Linked DNA regions of Caenorhabditis elegans. The protein of the gene in region 1 interacts with the protein of each later gene in a pairwise test. Each region holds a gene or a part of one and is shown on either strand. Other genes may lie near its edges.

Region 1 (10,007 bases):
TAGGTCTTTTTTTTTAAAGTTGTATGAAAAATCAATAAAGTTCGTCCAACAAAAAAAAATTCGAAAACATTTTTAATGGTTTTTTTTTTCAATTCTTGCATGTTTGCCCAATTTATGCGAAATCCACCTATCAAAACTCAGATAAAAGCTGACAAGGTGCACCATTGGACAGGCGAGAGCCTGAAAAACGAGTTCCCAAAAAATCGGGAAAATCGATAGGAAAAACGTTATGATTTTTTACCCAGAACGTATTTTTCACCCTAAGAAAGAATTTTTCATTAGAATTTTTAACTGTTTTTTTTCAGTTGTTAAGGACATTCGGGATGGCTGATGTGATTGATGCAGAAATGGAAACGATAGAGGAAATGCTGTGGCCAGAAAGAATAATTTTTGTTATAATGATACTTGTAATTCTTGGGAGTTTATTTACCGTTTCCTAGATTTTTAAAGTGTTCTCTATGAATGAACCTAATTAATTTCTTGTATTTTGCAGTACATATTTCACCAAAATATAATACAAAACTCAACACTACAGATATTTGAATTGCCCGTTAAAAAAACAATAAAAGTAAATATGAATTTTTAATATACCGAGTGAAATTAGCTGAATTTTAATTTTATTATTTTTTAGATTATAATATTCGAACTTTCTCTCTTTCTTTCCAACTAAAAGGAATCATCTGGGTGCGTAGGAAAAAATGGCTTTACTACTATGTTTACATTACACTGACGACAGCAGCTGCACTGCAACATTCTGCATTCACAACCATTTTTTATCTTACTCGGGTCACTGGTGGTGACCCTCTTCTATAAAACCGTTGCCAATCTGAAGTCGCCGCGTCGCTCACTTTTCACCGAGATCGCTGTCTAGACTTATAAGCTTTTGATCCATTTCTTTTGTTTTGACCCACCGCGCGCGCGCGTATTCTCATTTTGAGTGTGCGTCGCCGCCGGCCTCACTCCCTTCCAGCCAGTATAAAAACCGGAGTTTCTTTTATTTTCGAGCTTTTTTTTCTCTTTTTTGTTTTAACGCGCTCTACATTCTGTTTGTGGATGTGGGGTCCGACAGGCATTTGCTCACTGCTTCTTGCATTCTTTCTTTATTCTTATTAGCTAGTTTCCACTTCTTTATCGAATTTTTTTTTGTGTTTCATGGTAGTTTTTTCTTCATTATCAAACCATTACTTGTTATATTGAATGAATTTTTTCAAGTTTACAGAATGCTCAACCAAGACCACAACGCCTCTGCCAAATCTGGTGGTACTCTTCCTGTGCTACCCCTCGCTCTTCAGGAAACTTCCTTGTGTCAAACAACACGAGTCTGGCTGAGACAAAATGGAGGAAGTGGATGAGACCGACTTGTTCCTTCAAAGTGATCAAGCAGGAGATCAAGGAAGAGCAGTAGGAAGCGGATCAACCAAAGAAGCCTAACTTAGATGGACTCAAGCGCCAATGTGGAAAACCTAGAGGAATGCATGGAACTTGACTGTGCTCAAGAAATTGAGGAAGAAAACTGTCGTTGCTTTCCAACAGCACGAGTCTGGCTGAGGAAAAAAAAGAAAGTTGTAGCACTTTGTGGTCCCAACACTCCAAAGGCGATGGAAACTTCTTTGGCGTCAAACAACCATCACGATGCTCAAGCTGAAAATGTGGAATACCTAGAGGAATCTATGGATCTTGACTGTGCTCAATTGAGGAGGAAAACCTAAAAGTTCCAAGGACTACAGTTTCGCCGGGAGAACAACAATCAGTCTCGTTCCTTTTGAGTGATTCGGCAGGAGATCAAGGAAGATCAGGAGGAAGCGGCTCAACCAAAAAATACTAACTTTTTTGAAAACTCTGATAGACTCCAGCGCCAGTTCCTTCGAGCAACACGAGTCGCACTGAGAAAAAATGAAGAGAAATGAAGGAGTTCAGTGGTTCAGCAGGAGAACATGGAAGATCAGGAGGAAGCGGCTCAACGAAAGTAGCCGCAAGCTGATACTAAATGCTGAGCGATTGATTGAGTGGAGAAGTTATCAAACTCTAGGTAAGTACCTTATTTCACTTTCCGGGCTTTTGTCCTCAAACCCCAAAAAAACAATTTTTCACGATTTTCTTAAAAGCTCATGCTTTCAACAATTTGAAAATTGCCAAAACTTTGACTTTAAAAAATTATAAAAAAATCTAGAATTTTTTGAATCAATTTAAGCCAACTAGGACCTCACCGGCGCTACTCTATCTTCAAATCATTCTTTTCAGACTTCTACCGATTCTTCTTCAATGAGCACACCTCATGCCCCAATTTGTTGTGAACTTGTTTCGATACAAATTCTATCGGGATAATGGCCCAGACTCTATCGGAGCAAGTAAGTTTTTTAAAAGTCAAGCTTCATGTTATAATTGTAAAAATTTCAGATATTGGATGGAAAAAGCATAGCGAAAAAAAGAACATAAAAGTGGCGAGATTGGCACCAGGAACGGCAGAATATTAATTTTCCTTTTTTTTTTTAAATAAAATGTACTTTTAATTCAAATTCATGTAGTTTCAAATAAAGAAAATAAGTCTTCCTGCTATCTGAATTCAGTTTTTTTTCAACTTCTCGGTGTCGCAACGTCTGGAACCTAATTTTTATTTATTTATCATTTTTTAACAAGTATTGTAAGACACCACAAAATCTAGTCCAGTCATCATTATTTCCCCCTGCTAAACTCACGGAAAAGTCTCGTGAGAATCATGTTCTCCACTCTCCACGTCATTTTGAACGTTCTCTCATCAAGTGATAAGAAAGATAGCAATCTTTCTCTAAACCCCCGTTGCAGCTGATTTCATGGGATTTTACAATGACCACCAGACTAGTGATTCGTTGCACCCGGAAATATACAGCCAAGTGCAAGAGTTCAGTGATAACTGATCTAGGAGGGAGCAATGAACAATTTTTGTTTTCTTCTATTTTATTTTCCAATGGTGATCCTTGTTTTGTGGATTTTGACCGACTAATAATAGATCTTTAAAAAACAAAACGTGTGGAAAAATATTGATGTTTATCTGGTTTTCGTTTTTTTGGATCACAAGTTTTTGTTTTGATTTTTAAGTTTTATTTAACAACAACCTTTTTTCTAATTTGAAAAATTGTTTCAAGGTTTAAAATGCAACATATTTAATTTTTCGCATACGCTTAATAAAATTTGAATTTAAAAAAAAGAAAAAAAAATTGAACGAAAAAATGTTTTCAAAAAAATTTCGCGATTTCAAAATGAAAAAAAAATTTAGCCAAAAAAGGTTTTTTTAAATACTTTGAAAATGACAAAATAATCACTTTTTCATGAAAATGTGAACTCGGAGTTCCATAGTTAAAGTTGGTTTTTTTTTAATTTTAAAAATTAAAAATAATTTTTTTTTAGTTTTTAGTTTTTCTATTTCTCACTTTCTTAATTAGAAAATTAGAATTCGCGGTTTTTTAATACAGTTTTTCACAGATATTTGACTGTTTCAATTGCTTTTAATTCTGAATTTATGTCGGTAAATTCTTGGCTCTAATTCGGGTTTTTCTGCTAATTTCTAACAATTTTTATAATGTGTAGAGTTAAAAAAAATGCCTTAAAAAAGCTTTCCCTAGAAATTTTAACACCCACAATTTTACTTTGAACAATTTTTTAAAGGTGGAGTGCGCCTGTGGGGATATTGTTAAGAACCACTTCTATGATCCCAAAATGACCGAATATCATTATAAAAGTTTTCAAGCCTTTTTTGAAATTTTTTTATTTACTGTCAAAAAGTGACAATTACTCAGTTTTTGCCACTCATAATTTTTGAAGTCGACCAAAAAAAAAAATTTTTTTTCCTATATTTTAAAACTTTAATTCTGATTCAATTATTTGTATTAAAACATTGTAGGGGTTGGAACATGCGAGATTGCTTTGGATTTCCTCAAAAGCAAATATTTATTTAAAATTTTGGAAATTTGCCAAAACTGAGTGTTTTATTATGATATTTGGTCATTTTGGGTTATTACAAGTGTATTTAAACAAAATTCCTACTAGCGCGACTTCATCTTTAAAAATATATCCAAAAACCACCGATATATATACATACATGAGCTATCAAAAAAAAGACTCCCCAATTACATCACTCTCCGTAACGAACACCCGTGGTGTCTAGTCGTTTAGTGTAAGAAGTTAGATGTCTATCATCATCTGACGACAGAAATTCCGGATTTCTATTGTTCACAGAAAGAGAAAATAGGGGAGGGAGGTGGGACATTTCAGAGACTGATGTAATATCATCATAAGTTGGGGGAGGGGGGGGGGGAGGCGGAAAAACAAACAAACTTTTGAGACTTTATTCTCTATTTTTTTGAGGCTATTGTTTTAAGCGTACCCGACTGATAACGTATCAGGCAAACACATTTTTTTTTTCATTTCTTAAAGTCCAAATTTCGGAACAGTTTTTTTTGTTCAGACTAAAATTTTACCTATAATTTGAAAAAAAAAATTAAAAGTGGAAATTTAATCAAAATAACAATTTCAAACTGTTTTTTATTTCGTTGTTCTCGTGGTGTCAGATTGTCTCATTTTGGCTTGATCTACGTAGATCTCCAAAAAATGCGGGATTTCTCCGATACAGAGTTCTCAACTGATTTTGCATGGTTAAGAACGTGCTGACGTCACATATATTTTCGCAAAAAATTACCGCACATTTCGTAGATCAAACCGTGATGGGACAGCCTGGCACCACGTGTTTTTTCCTTTTTTTGTATTTTTTTTCTTGGCGAAAAAAAAACTTTTTCTTGATTCAGTTTTATCTATATTTTTTTTAATTTTCTCACACCACTGATTCAAAACATTTTTTTTAGGAAAATGACTCAACAAAAAATGCACATGTTCTCCACTGAAACTGCTCTTCGGAAATTCCAAATCAATACTCAATCCGACACAATTTACGTGAACCTCAACTACCTGGCAGAGCTCTCCGAGTATTTTCATATGTAAGTTTAATAAAACATCGTTTTTTTCTGAAAAAAAAAAGAAATGTAAATTTTGCAGACTACGCACTGGCTTCTACTCCGAAATGACAGCTGAGAAAGTTAATTTGAATGATGTTTTTGCAGAGGATCTAGTAGTTTTTCTGTCATATGTGTGCCCAGATGGTTTTGAATTTGACAGAACTATTAATCGTAAGTTAGCTTTTTTTGACTGAATATTATTGTGACTCAGTGTTTTTAAATAAATTTAAAACAAATTATTTATGAATTAATTTTTAAGTATCTGTATAAATATTATTTTTCTTCAAGTTTTTATATTTCAAAGGTAGAAAATTACACTGTTTTATTTTTCGTTTATATCAAAATCCAATTTTGTTACTCAAAAATATATTTTTACGTTTTCCAACATGTTTTAAATTTTGCCATTTTGAGTTGATTTCTTGCAAATTTTAATTTTTTATTTTATTCTCAAATATGGTAATATGAAGCATTTTGTGCACAAAGCAACTCCAAAATTTTTCGTTTTTCTTCAAAAAATTCAGCTAAAATTTCAAAAATATTCCGAATATTCTGACAGCATGTGAATTTTGTTCTCAAAAAAATAATTTTAAAAAACCGGTTCCAAGTTTTAAAGGTGGAGTACCGAAATCTGGGAAATATTCTTAAATGACTCCAAATTTTCCCCTGATTCCGAATATTTGAGTGAAAAAATTCGAAAAAAAAATCCCTGATTTTATATTTGAGCTTGAAATCGCGATTTTCAATTGTGCACCCAAGTTATTTTTCAAATGCGCGCCAAAATAAATTCTCATTGGAGCGCAGTTGCCACATTCGATTTTTTGCATCAATTTTTATTTCTCTCAGTTTTCAGCTATTTTTTTTCGCATTTGAAAAATCTCATGGGGGGGGGGGGGGGCGTAAATGAAATTCGCGATTTCATTCTCAATAAAAAAATCAGGGAATTTTTTTAAAATTTTTTAAATTAGATATTCAGATTAAGGGAAAAATTTGGAGTCATTTAAGAATATTTCCCAGATTTCGGTACATCACCTTTGAATGTACAGTAAAACATATTTGAAACACTTCCAAATTTTTATGTAACAGAACCTGAGTTATTTTTAAAGTACTACTACAGTTTTGGAATTTTCCACACTTGGGTGAATCCACCTTCAATTTAAATTCTAAATTTATTCACAATACTTGTAAACTTGAAAACCCCCTTAATTTTTCAGAACATAACATCACACCACTAGTATATTTCTCGGACCGCCTCGTCTTCCCGTGGGTTAAACGGGAAGTTCACAAGTATTTAAATAGTGGTAAGAAAAATTTATTTAAATGAAACCCGTAAACTCTAAACTAAAATATTTCCAGAAGCCTTCCAAAACGAAATATATGACACCGAGTTGTTGGTCCAACTTTGCTACCTACTTCACAGTCAGAATTACAGGTAATCTAGACTTTTCGGGAAGCTAACTATATTCTAGTGAATGACTTTCAGCGAAATTGACGTGGTTTTCAAAAAAATCGCGCTCATTGATAACCCGTTAGTTGTGGATAGGCTTGTACAAGAAATCACGGATTCAGATGTTCAGTCGTTTTTCACAAAGAAGATTTTGCAATATAGACCGGTAAGATTTCACAATTTGAAAAAAACCTACTTATTTGCCTGCATGAGTGCCTGCCTACCACCTATTCAATTTTACAAACACCCGGCCTCTCGAAAGACAATTTTCTCGTCAATTTTGCCGGAAATTCAAATTTTCTTACAAAAAAAATTTTGGCGGGAAACTCAACTTTTCCGAGAAACAACTTTGCTGGGGAATTCAATTATTATGAGAACATTTTTGGCAAACTCAAAAAATTTTTTCAGTATACCGAGAAGCCACGGCCACAAATGTTCTTTGACTGGGATCACACTCCTTATTCCGCCTATGTTTGATTTACTACATTTTTGCATTTGCATTCAATTATTATTAACAAAATTCTAGTTTTTTTTTCTAATTTTGCATGTTCTCTATATATGTATATTTGTTTTTTTTTCAATAAAATATACTTGCAATAACTTTTTCAGAACGATTTCTTTTCTTTTTTTTTGAAAACCTACCTTGTTGTAATTTTTCAACGGCATTATTAGAAGCTTATGAATTTGAGCTACAATTTCAATTAAAAAACTTTGATACTTAAAAGGTACTGTAAATGTACTGTAGAATTACTGTAGCTTCGGAAAACAGAGTAGAACCCAGGCCATTTCTAAGCAAAACTATTTTCGAAAAAGCTCTTTGTAAATGGAAATTTTGAAAATTTTGAAAAAAATTCTGGAATATTGCAGAATCTTCTGAAAGAAAATGCAGAAAATGAAAATAGATGGTGTTTGCCTCATTTTACTTTTCTCCCTATATGGTTACTTTTTTCAGTTTTTCAGCTATTTTCATCCATTTTTGTCGTATTTTATAGTTTTTTTTTTGAAAAATATATTCTTTTGTGTCAATTGAACATTTTAATTTCATAAAATTGGATGACAATAGCTGAAAAACTGAAACAAGTAACCATATACGGAGAAAATTAAGTGATGCAAGTGCGCTCCAATGAGAATGCATTTTGGCGCGTATTTAAAAAAAGAATCCGGGGCACAAATGAAAATTGCGATTTCAAGCTCGAATATAAAATCAAGGAACTTTTTTTTTGAATTTTTCACACCGGTATTCGGGATCAGGGGAAAATTTGGAGTTATTTGAAAAAATTTTTTTCGGTTAAATTTTCGGTTATCTGTTTTTTTTCAATTCGTAAAAAAATCTGAGATGGAGCTTTTTTGTATACTCTATTGAAGTAGTTTTTCTGCAGAACTATTAATTTCTAATACATATTTATTTGCCTTATACATAGATTTAGTGAATTTCACATAAAATTATCCCTTTTACAAACTAGCGGTCTGGTATCACTTGCATTTTTGTCTTATAAATGTAAGTGAATGCAAACCGCCAGTTTGTATTCGAGGACAGTAAGAATAAATGTAGCTATAAAGTAATAAGGCCCGTGTTTTGGCTCGGACTTAATCTGGAGCTTGAAGTAAAGGCTTTTTATACAGCCTGGCGGCCCCGCCCATTTCTAGTCTCAGGTTCCGCCTTTTTGAAATTACCGTAAGTTCAAAAAAAGTACACAAATTAAAAAAGCGGTACTTTCTTTGACTTCAGAAAATGTTGTTTCCCATTGTCAAAAATTCAGACAGTAAAAGGTTGCGTAGTTGGAAAAGACGCCGCTGGCTGTGTTGCGCAATTTGGATTGGGAACGCCGATGGGAAGTATTGTATCTAAAAATTTAAATGAATAATTCCTAGTGGTTCTCATAACAATTTTTTTTGAAAAATTATAAAACCCCCTTATTACAAAATTCGATAGTTTTGGGCCACTGTGGGATTAAAAAAACAACGTCTAAAAATTCGCTACTCCACCTTTAAGAGTACGGCCATTTCAGTTTAATTTTAGGCTTTATCAATATTTTGTTCAGAAATAGGATCAAGTAATCTATTTCCAAAATCGCCAACACGAAGGTTGGTTAGTAACCTTTCCATAAAAGCAATTCACATTGAGTTGCATAACTTTGAGTGTGAGCGGTTTTGTTTTTGAAAAAAAAATGTTACATCATAGGCATGGTAACAAAACTCTGACAATCTTGCCCTGAATTATTCACCACAAAAAAAAATAATTCTAACGTGGATTTTAACAAGAAATGTGTGAATTTATAGGCTAGCTGGTAGGCACGAAATAGGCACTAGATCTGCAATTGTTCAAAAAAATGCCACATTGCAGTTTTTATCCTCTTCAACGCTTCATTAAAGGTAGAGCAGCGCCAGTGGGGAATATTTTAAAAACCACTCTTATGGTGCCAAAATAACCAGATGAAATAGTAAATTTTTTCCATTGTAAAAAAAATTATTTTAAAGTGTGGTCAGATGTAATTAATAATTACCTTCGAATATTTAATATCCAAATATTATACTGGTTCAAACAAGCGACAATGCTATAGTTTTTTTAAAGTGCCAAAAACTCAGTAATTGGCACTTTTTGAAACAAAATGAAACAAAATAAAAAAATAAGAAAATTCCAAAAGTTTAATAGAACATTTTTACTACACTGATATTTGGTTATTTTAACACCACTACTCCGCCTACAATGTGATATGTTAGCTGAGACAAATGAGATCAGAACAACATAGGTTGAGTATTTTTGAAACGTGTGGATATATAAAAGGTAGAGAATATCCCTTAGTTTATCTGATGAAATAGTCCACCGGACACCCGAGTATATAGTTGGCTTATAATAAAGTCTCTCACATGATATTACTAATTAGCTGGATTTGTACCTTGATCTCTGCAAGTTGCGAAAATGATTTTCCTCCTGACTCACATTACATTATGATATTTCATTAGTAAACTTGAATTCCAAAATCATTACGTGCTTTATTTGGCTTAAAAAATAGGGTTTGCTACAGGATTTGAAATTTTATGGAAGCTGCTTTTTCAGTTTCCCATGCACCTGTTGCGCAACTGCATTTGCCAATGCCGCCGGCGCCTTCAAATTCAAAATTTTCTCACAGTAAACAGTAAGTCATTTGAAACTATAGTTATTGCAAATAATGGGATATTCATGGGAATTTTTTAAAAATTAAGAAGGTTTAAATGTGCAAAATATGTGAAGAAAGGGAGAAAAATTCCAAGTTAGCAACTGATTATGGGGTATAAGCAGACAAATCTCAGCAGTTTAGATAACTCTTACAGGGATTATTCGAGTAGTGTTGGAAAACATTATAAACTAAAAAGAAAAGAAAAATAATTAAACAAAGCTTGAGGGGTATGACTATGGAAAAATACACTTGTCGAATAAAACATTGGGGATGTAAGACAGGGTAGGAATGTTGTGAATGTTCAATAATGTAAAAAAGTGACAAAAACGGAGGTGAAACTTATGAAATTACGGTAAGAAAATGATCAGACCAATAGAAATTATAAAAATCGTATTATCCTTGGAGCCAAGCTGTCTGGAA
Region 2 (10,007 bases), on another chromosome or scaffold:
ATTGGAAATTAAAAACGCTCGAAAGCTACTAAAAACAACAAAACTATTATAATCTTACCTGTGCAACATACAAATAGTCTCTCAAGTAGGCTTTTGGCTTGTATCCGTTGGCAAGAGCATACTCCTCAGTCATGATAAGAGCAGCAGAAGCACCATCGGTCAAGTAAGATGCGTTGGCAGCAGTCACAGTTCCGTGTGGCTTCACAAATGCTGGTTTCAGAGATGACAGCTTCTCAAGAGTGGATACACGAATTCCGTTGTCCTCTTTGATTGTCTTTGGCTTTTTTCCGTCTAAGAATACTGGAACAACATCAGTGAATTTTCCATTCTTAGCTGCTTCCGAAGCAAGAGTGTGGGAGCGGATTGCGAATTCGTCTTGTTCTCTGAAAATAGAAATAAGTAGACATTAATTAATTTCCCAGAAATTTAAGGAAAATTACCTTCTAGAAACATTGAACGCGGCAGCAAGTCTGTCTCCACTGTGTCCCATTGTCTCACCAGTTGAGAACTCAGCGACCGCTGGCAGTTCAGGAGAAAGCAAATTTTTGACAATTTGTCCTCCAATCTTCAACTTCGATGGAACATCTTTTGCTTTATTCATTCCCAACATAGCCTTTCTGGCGTTTCGATTGTAACGAATTGGCACATCAGACAACAATTCGACTCCTCCGGCGATGATTGCATTTGCATTTCCAGTGGCGAGCATTCCCATTCCAGTGGTCATTGCGACATTTGATGAGATGCATGCAAGAGTGACAGTGTGAGCTGGGATCTTATCTGGAACACCAGCGAGAAGAGCAGCTTCTCTAGCAATGTTACTGGTCTTGCATTCTTGAATAACTGTTCCACAAATAATGTGATCGAGTTGTTCATATGGCAGCTTTGTCTTCTCCACTAGTGCTGAAAAATGAAAAATTAATTTTCCTTATTTACAAATTTCTATACAAACCCTTGATAGCTTCTTTCTGTAAGTCAACAGCCATTAAATCCTTGAAAACAGTTCCAGAAACGACAAATGGAGTACGAACTGCATCGACAAGTACAATATTTGGCATATTTTTCTTGGCGACTGCCGAAGCGGCACGAGCAGTCCCGAACGAAGTGCTAACTGCGCGGAGCATCTTCTGAAAAGAAATCAGATTTAATTTTGGAGGTGGTTTATTTTTGAGAATAAATCTCCAAAGAACAAAAAATGCGTTCAAGAAAATAATTTAACGTACGAAAGAGAACAAAAAACAAATATGGAATCAAATTTGGTTCGCTACGTGTACTCTTATCATTTCATCATTGCCTACGGACAGAAGGGGACAAAGTATTTTCCCTCTCCTTTGAAAGAACACAGCAGAATAATTTTACACCCTTTCTTGATTTTTGAGAATATTAAACCAGACTTACTCTATTTGAAACGACAGCAGAACAAAAGCAACGGATCAAAAAATGAAATGAATTTAAATAATTTCTACATTGAAAAACCAAGAATTTAGAGAAACATTTAAAAAAAAGAAACGTGGCCGATCAGAAAAGAAAAAAATATATACTACAAAGTTCACAAAAAAAAATTCTTAAAAGCTGAAGAAAGAAAGTTCAAAATGTTAAAATCCAAAAAGAAATAATCAAACTAGAAAACAAATACACAATCGATAGATATAGTGTAGGTCACCAACACACAAGATAATAAGTGATGAGAGGAGGAGACGAGACGAACACAACAAGAAAACCTGGCTGTTGTGGCCTCCCATGCGCCGCCCGTCCGTCCGTCTGGACTTTGTACCTTGATAAATTCTCTATGTAGGCTACGGGTAGATAACTAATTTTACAGACACGAGGTGCAAATTGAACAGGAAAACGTGGTATGGGTTTGGAAAAAGGCAGGATGGGAAAAATTACGGGCAGTTTAATTTGAGCTGAGAGAAAGTTATTTGAAGGAGGACGAACGGTTCTGGGTTTAGCGCTTGTATAGGCTCAATATGTGCCAAAATAAACGAATTTCGTATTAAGACTTCTCAAAAATGTATCAAACATTTCTCGGTGGTTCAAAATAAATATAATATTAAACTCCTAAATATTTTACACATTTTCTCGTTTATCTCAAATTATTTCGTTGGTTAAGTAAATTTTAAGCGTAGAGGAATGCAAATTTTGTTAGTCTTTTGTTATTTTAGTATATTTATACAAAAAATCGAGGAAATATCAAATAAAATCAAGATATTCTGATGAAAAATGTTGAAAAAAAAGTTTTGATAAATAAAATAAACTCTCGCGCTTATCGGGTGTACTACGGTATTAAAGGCACATAAGCGTATGTCTGACGTTGGGTCTCGCAGCGTTTGCAATAACCAGCTGGAAGGGAGAAATGGAAATTAAATTTTTTTTAACGAAAAGATCTGTTCCATTGTTATTTTTCTAGTTTTTTCCCACTTTTTCTCAAAAGTTTTTCTCTAATTCGAATACTTTTCGTTTAAAAGTTTGCCAAATTCATTTTGAGGTACATAAATTAATAGCAAAATCACAAATATCACAACAAATACAATTAATTCATTTTTCCTTTCTTTTTTCACTTCACTCAACACCTTTTTCGATTCTTATCTTCTTTCGAATTCTTTTTCTAATCTACTCTCTCATTTCGCCTCTTTATAAATACTACTTTCTTACAGGCTAAATAGTTTTTTTTCACAAAAATAATTTCTGAAAAAACAAATTTTAAATTCTTTTTATAAAATTTAACAAAAAGGTTGTTTTCCTAAAAAAGCGTGCAATTGCCCGTCGATTAGTGCGCTTTCACGTATCGATTCTCTGCGCCAAGGAACATTTTAACCAACACGCTTCTCTTTATTTCTCTCAGTCTCTCAAGCATCATCTGATTTCATATTATTCTTCACTTTATTCTTCATTATTCCAGACAACACAACTAGACAAAAATGAATGCATTAATTGTTAAATCTGCACTCGAATATTTAGAGGTAAGTTGAACATTTATTGATTTTTTGAACCCTTTTCCCATTTTTTCATTGTTATGAAAAAGTGTCAAATTGAAATTGTTTAACTTCAAATCTAAAAAAAACTATTTTCAGCTAAGCACAGTCGTCGCAATATTAATCATCATAGCATGTGCACTTTTATCATATCAAATCTCTGCTCGAAGGCCTTTATATTATAACTTATTTGTTGTAGAAATGCACACTTGGACAACTAGGAGGATGGTGCAGGTAATTTTATTTAAATATTAAAAGAAAAAAAAAACGAAAAACACTATTGGAAAATTTCGAATAAATTTCTAAACTTCAAAATACAGGTTCTTCATCTCGGTCAAGAGTTCACACCGCCCGTCACATGGGAACGATTAGTTCAACGAATGAGGGCAAGAGCTCCACGAATTCAAGGAGAGCAAAGAGTGGCAATTTCTGATACAAATATTGTGATACAGTCGCCGAATACGGTTATTGATTCACCAGCTCCTGCAAGGTTTACTTTTAAAAATGTATTCAAATGTTTAATATTTCCAATTCCAGATCACCAGACGTTGACCTAATAACATTATGGGACATTGAAATGCCGCCACCGAGTGCTGGTCACGTGCCTGACGCCACAAGGGATAGTCAGTATGCTGCTGCAGCGGCGATAGCAATTTTAGCTAGAGGGTTAGTTTTTAAAAAGTTTAATTTAAGGTTTAAAACATTCAAAAATTCTGTATTTTTCCAGAGACGACGCATCTTTGATGTCTCGAACGTACAGGCCTCAACTTCGTCCACCAACAGAACGATCTGGAAATACTCGAGTTGATGAGTCGAGACCCAGCGTAAATGAAGAAAAAAAATTGATTTTAAAATAATTTATTTTGGTTCAGGAAAATTCTTCACGACATGATTACGTTACTACAGACGTTACGTATACGACTCCATGTAAGTTTTTCATATTGCTTTTTTTCGAAACTTTACCCGAACAATTTTAGCTAAAACTTCAAATATGACATAAAATCGACAATTTAATATTTATTTTCAATTTTTTGTAGGAAAAGCCTGAAAATTAGAGAAGAGATGAAACTAATTCATTTAAAAAATTAGAATCAGTTTCTTAATTTTTTAACAGTTACATTCGGTCATTCCGGCCTTTTTTATAATTAAAAGTAAAATCCCCGCCTGAAAATTAAAAATGTATGGATTTTCAGCAATAAACCCGGATATGCAACATCATCTTTCAACAAGAACGTCAAATGTAACACAAACTCAGCCTCCAACAAATCAAGTGTTCGCTGATACACCAGAGCTTACAGAAGATATTGTGATAGATCAACAGGAAGAAGATGATGAAGAGGATGACGATGACGATAGTTCAGATGATGCAATAATAGAAGATCATGAAGAAGAAGAAGGTCAAGATGATGATGAAGAAACTGAAATTGAAATTGATAGAGGAGGTCCTATTGAAGAAATTGAGCAAGTCGAAGTTGAGCAAAATGAGGATCCGCCACTGGATGATCAAGAAGTAGAAGCTCAACCGGAGCAAGTTCTTCAAGAAACTAAAGAATCCGAATTTCCAGTAATCGAAGGACCATCAGAAGGGAAGATTTTGATAAAGCTAAAGTTTATGAATGATACCGAGAAAAACACGTATGCATCACTGGAGGATACTGTAGCAAAGTTCAAAGTAGATCATTTCACAAATCTTGCGAATCAGGTCATACGGCTCATTTATCAAGGTATCTTTAATTTTTTATGTAAAGTAAAAACAGTTAGTAATGTATTTTAAAGTTTAAAAAAATTAATGAAAACAAATGTTTGGCATTTGGCAAAAAAGCTTTTTAAAAAATATTTCAAAAATGATAAAAAATAAGTGAAAACAAAGATCTAACGATTATTTTTTGCGAATTCCATAAAATTTCTGAAAATATAGAACACAATTTTATTGGCCTATATCTAAAGTATTCGTTGAAAGACACAAAAATGTACCTATCGACCGCAATTTATTTTGTTGATAATTTGATAGATTGGAAAAATTGTGAAAACGTGCCACAGTTGAAAGTTTTATAGAATTCCCAAAATTTAATACCACTGGCTCATAATCCTGAAAATCAAATGGAAAAATGAATATTAAAAAAAACTATTTGAAAAAATTAAAAGTCTTTTCTTCAAGCCTAAATAATTTTTAACTGAATTTTTCAGGCCAACTTCTCAGAGAAGATCATCGAACGCTAGAAGAATATGGTCTTCAACCAGGAAGTATAGTTCATTGTCATATTAGTACAACACCATATACACGACCAGGAATAGCAACTCTTCCTCCAATTGTCAATAATGGTTTTCGACGAAGACCTCGAAGATCCGTCAGAGCTCCACGTGACACAACTCCAATGCCGTCGGAAAGTGTTCCAGTAGTTGATGAGAATGTTACAACAGCAAGAAGAAGAGCTGCGCAGGACAGAAATGTTGGACAGATCTATTTACTTTTATCAACAATGGTTCCAATTCTTTCTGGAATTGGATTGGCATTTTTCCGTCCTGATCGAATTCGAGATCTACTTCGGCCAGCCACACTTCTGACGATTAGCCAATGGGTATGCAATTTACTTGTTGATAATGGATTGTTGGAACAAGATGATGATGATCAGGAAACTCATTTGCAAACTTCAACATTATTTTGGATTTTTGGAGGTGATTCTAATTTTCAAAAAAAAACACGTCAAAACGCAATATTTATTACAGGTCAAATGGTCGCAGTGAGCATATTTCTGTACTACTTTCCAGATGTATTTGATCGAGTCGGCTTTTCGATCTTCATTATTGTATTTCTTTACTTCGTTTTTGTGGTTTATTCACGTCAGCGACGACGCCAACCGGATCCTGTTGAGGTTCAAAATGAAATGATGGAAAATCAAATCGTCCAGGAGACTATTCGTCTTCTGTAAATTTTAATTTATATTTCACAGTGAGTTTTTATTTATTAGGAAAAATAAATTAAATTTACTTCAAAAAAACTTTTTAATTAATTGAAAACGAAAAAGTTATGAATTTATTTTCTTTTGAAAAAAGCTTTCGAAAAAAAACCAGAAATATTAATTTTTGCTTTAAAATTGAGTTTCGATTAAAAAGCTAACAAATAAATAGTTGTTTTTATTCAGCAATAGATTTTTCAATTTTCAGATTCTTGTACACTTCAAATCGAAACCATTATGATTCTAGCCACAACAAAATTGCACACAAAATGGGTATCAAAACACTTGGTTTTTTTTTCAAAATTTTCCACTTGAAACGGATCAGACAGAGGATGAGAAGATCCAAACATACACACATCGAATACTGCGAAATTTTATTCAATAATTCTTATTCCCCCCACCCCGTCCGTGTGTTCTGTGTATATTTGACTCGGTTCTTGTTTTTCATCTTTCTTTTGCATCATCATTAGATACTTCACTAGTAATAAATTGGTAGCTTTTATACAATTGTGGACTACAAAAAATACAGTGCTAAAGGATGTTTGATTGTAAACTTCGAAGAAGGCAGCAGCACAATTGAGTTGAGTAAATATGGAGAAAAGTTGGAGGCAAATAAACCCTTCAAGACCCCCTTTGGATTCACTTTTCCACCCAGATAGATAGTTGCTCCAACATTGAGAATAATGGTAAGGCTACCACCTCCAACGCCACCACGGAAGCCTAATATATGTGGGACATCTGGAAATTCAAATGGAATAAATGAGAATATTGGTAAGTTTTTTTTTAAACTTTATGCTGATTTTCAGATGTTTGTGAGATTTTTAGAGAAATAATTAATTCTAAAAATAATTTCGATGTATTTTTAAATGAAAAAAAAAACCACTTTTCGAAATTATAATTTTGAGATAAATTTAATTAACCTGAAAGCAGGATCTGCGAGCGAACGGCAAAATTCGCAAAAATAGGCGGTAGGCAGGTATGTAGGCAGTAAGGCTAGAGGCAGACACGAAAATGTAAATTCCTACGGCAGCTTTATCGGAAAAGTTGAGACGACTAATTTTTTAATAGTGATAAAGAATATGTGCCTTTCAGGAGTACTGTAATTTTCTGCAACGAAAGTCTGAAATTACAGTACCCCTTAAAGGCGCATATTCTTTTGAATCCAGCAAGCATTTGTCGTGTCGAGACCAGGCATCTATTTTTGGCATATGGGTAATATAATTTGATAAGTTGGAAAATATTGAAATTTTTTTTAAATTTCATTAAAAAACATTTGCTGTCACAATTACCACAAAATTTCCACATATTGTTCATAGATTTTTCGTTTTGGAGCCAAGAAAAGGTTCTCGCACTTGTCAGTATGTAGATAATTATAGGAAATCTTGCAATATACAGTGTGGGAAAGTTCTATAGGACCCCCCCTAATTTGAAGGTTTGAGGAACTTCCGAAAATTTTTTCGAAAAACTGCTAATGCCGTTCGTTTTTAAATTGAAAAAAACCTATATACATTTTTTTCCAGAAGTTTATCTCAAAAACTGAGGTCGCGCTGGAAAAAACGTCAAAATCCAGTGTGAAACTTCTATAGGACCCCCCGTTTTTTTTCACGATTTTTACTAAAATCAACAGATTTTGGAATTTTTGACAAAGCTCAAATCAAGTTTGAGTTAGAAATGAGTTCAGATAAGCAGTTTTGACTTTAAAAATTAATACGAAATGTTCTCGTGGGATCTCCAGACTGGTTCTGATTCTTCCGATCTTTGATGTTCAAGTCTGTTTCAAGCTTCCTGGTGCTCTCGGTAATGCAAAAACTTGATAAACTCTCTTTAACAAGTTCCTACTAAAATTCCTAGCACGCACTTTAGATGTTTCGACTGTGTAGTCAAGCTGATTTGGCAAAATATGCAGCAGGAAACAATGGAAGGCTTATCAGGAATCAAATCGTTTTTCTTTGATTACAAGGTTCCATGGGACCAATATTTCAAGTTAAATTGTCCCTCACAGATGTTATTTACTATTTTTTGCGTGAATTATTAAATGTGGAATTGTGGCATGTGTTGTGGCACACATATAGAGGCTGGAAAGCTTACTTCGAAAGCAGTCTAACTTGCAATGCCTCGAGGATCTGCCCTTTCGGACACTGAACGCGCTCAGCTGGATGTTATGAAATTGCTCAATGTGTCCCTGCATGAAATGAGTAGGAAAATTTCCCGTTCTCGACACTGTATTCGCGAGTATCTGAAGGATCCGGTGAGCTACGGTACATCTAAAAGAGCTCCTCGTCGCAAAGCTCTCTCCGTGCGTGACGAACGAAATGTGATTCGTGCTGCCTCCAACTCCTGTAAGACGGCAAGAGATATTCGCAATGAGCTTCAATTGTCTGCTTCAAAAAGGACCATCCTCAATGTCATCAAACGATCTGGTGTAATCGTTCGTCAGAAACTTCGCCCTGCTCCGTTACTCTCTGCAGACCATAAACTCAAGCGATTGGAATTTGCTAAGAACAATATGGGAACGAATTGGAGTAAAGTGAGAATTTAAAAAAGCAAGAGTGAATAATTAGGATCATTGTTTTAGGTTGTCTTCTCCGATGAAAAGAAATTCAATCTCGATGGGCCTGACGGTTGCCGCTACTATTGGCGCGATTTGCGCAAGGAACCAATGGTTTTTTCGAGACGTAATTTTGGAGGAGGAACGGTGATGGTTTGGGGAGCGTTCACGGAGAAGAAGAAGCTTGAGATACAGTTCGTCAGTAGCAAGATGAACAGCACTGACTATCAGAACGTCTTGGAACTGGAGCTCTCCAAATATCTTCGTCACTACTCCAGAAAAGACTTTAGATTTCAGCAGGATAATGCGACAATCCATGTGAGCAACTCAACCCGCGACTATTTCAAGCTCAAGAAGATCAACCTTCTTGATTGGCCAGCTCGAAGTCCTGATCTCAATCCAATCGAAAATTTGTGGGGGATTCTTGTCCGTATCGTGTATGCTCAGAACAAGACTTACCCAACAGTTGCATCGTTGAAGCAAGGAATTCTCGACGCTTGGAAGTCTATTCCGGACAACCAGCTGAAAAGTTTGGTCAGATCAATGGAGGACAGACTGATTGAGATCATCCGCACACAAGGAAACCCGATTAACTATTGATCCTTTCTTGATTTTAGTATATGAATGTTCTGTTGTTGATCAAAAATAACTGCAACTTGTTAATACGCTGTTTCTGACTGGTTTCTTGGGGATGGCGTAAAAATGTTTATGGTGTGTGTGCTAGGAATTTTAGTAGGAACTTGTTAAAGAGAGTTTATCAAGTTTTGGCATTACCGAGAGCACCAGGAAGCTTGAAACAGACTTGAACATCAAAGATCGGAAGAATCAGAACCAGTCTGGAGATCCCACGAGAACATTTCGTATTAATTTTTTAAAGTCAAAACTGCTTATCTGAACTCATTTCTAACTCAAACTTGATTTGAGCTTTGTCAAAAATTCCAAAATCTGTTGATTTTAGTAAAAATCGTGAAAAAAAACGGGGGGTCCTATAGAAGTTTCACACTGGATTTTGACGTTTTTTCCAGCGCGACCTCAGTTTTTGAGATAAACTTCTGGAAAAAAATGTATATAGGTTTTTTTCAATTTAAAAACGAATGGCATTAGCAGTTTTTCAAAAAAATTTTCGGAAGTTCCTCAAACCTTCAAATTAGGGGGGGTCCTATAGAACTTTCCCACACTGTATATTTTATCTATTTAAAACAATAAAAGAAGAAATAACAGGATGCTCTGGAAAGCTATGATGACTCATGCTCGAATGACGTGTCTTTTTTCAATGATTTGTCGAAATATGTGTCCGAGGTGTGTCTAGTCACAACATACATTCGTCACTTTCTCTCATTCTCTCGGCAAACACAAGAGTTTCCATTGCCTATCTGTCTGCGTTTCTATAACTTATACACTCTCTCGTATTCCTAGTCTTTTTCCTTTTTCTTCCATCCATCGATTTCCCCAGTTCTCATTCTTTTTATTTCTTTTTCTGGCAGTTTTAGGGTTTCTCACGCTCTTTTGTTCGGGCTGGTGCTCAATTTT

What was found.
Region 2: the proteins of F56C3.9 (region 1) and B0303.7 interact in a two-hybrid assay, tested with the Caenorhabditis elegans proteins (one large-scale study listed by BioGRID).

The regions. Positions count from the first base shown.
Region 1 is NC_003284.9:1,388,820-1,398,826, reverse strand, and holds F56C3.9 (BTB domain-containing protein), read left to right. Parts: upstream 1-4,835; 5' UTR 4,836-4,839; coding exon 4,840-4,967; intron 4,968-5,025; coding exon 5,026-5,156; intron 5,157-6,196; coding exon 6,197-6,283; intron 6,284-6,338; coding exon 6,339-6,414; intron 6,415-6,465; coding exon 6,466-6,595; intron 6,596-6,837; coding exon 6,838-6,906; 3' UTR 6,907-7,027; downstream 7,028-10,007. Other genes in the region: ZK402.5 (SPK domain-containing protein), read left to right, coding at 1-3; H39E20.1 (Transposase), read left to right, coding at 2,276-2,348, 2,398-2,474.
Region 2 is NC_003281.10:8,687,043-8,697,049, forward strand, and holds the start of B0303.7 (SH3 domain-containing protein), read left to right. Parts: upstream 1-6,579; 5' UTR 6,580-6,612; coding exon 6,613-6,700; intron 6,701-9,902; exon of another isoform or gene 9,903-10,007. Other genes in the region: hadb-1 (putative 3-ketoacyl-CoA thiolase), read right to left, coding at 59-383, 441-900, 950-1,121; B0303.4 (transmembrane and ubiquitin-like domain-containing family 1 protein), read left to right, coding at 2,919-2,960, 3,072-3,206, 3,293-3,462, 3,510-3,638, 3,700-3,796, 3,845-3,899, 4,166-4,696, 5,160-5,648 and 1 more.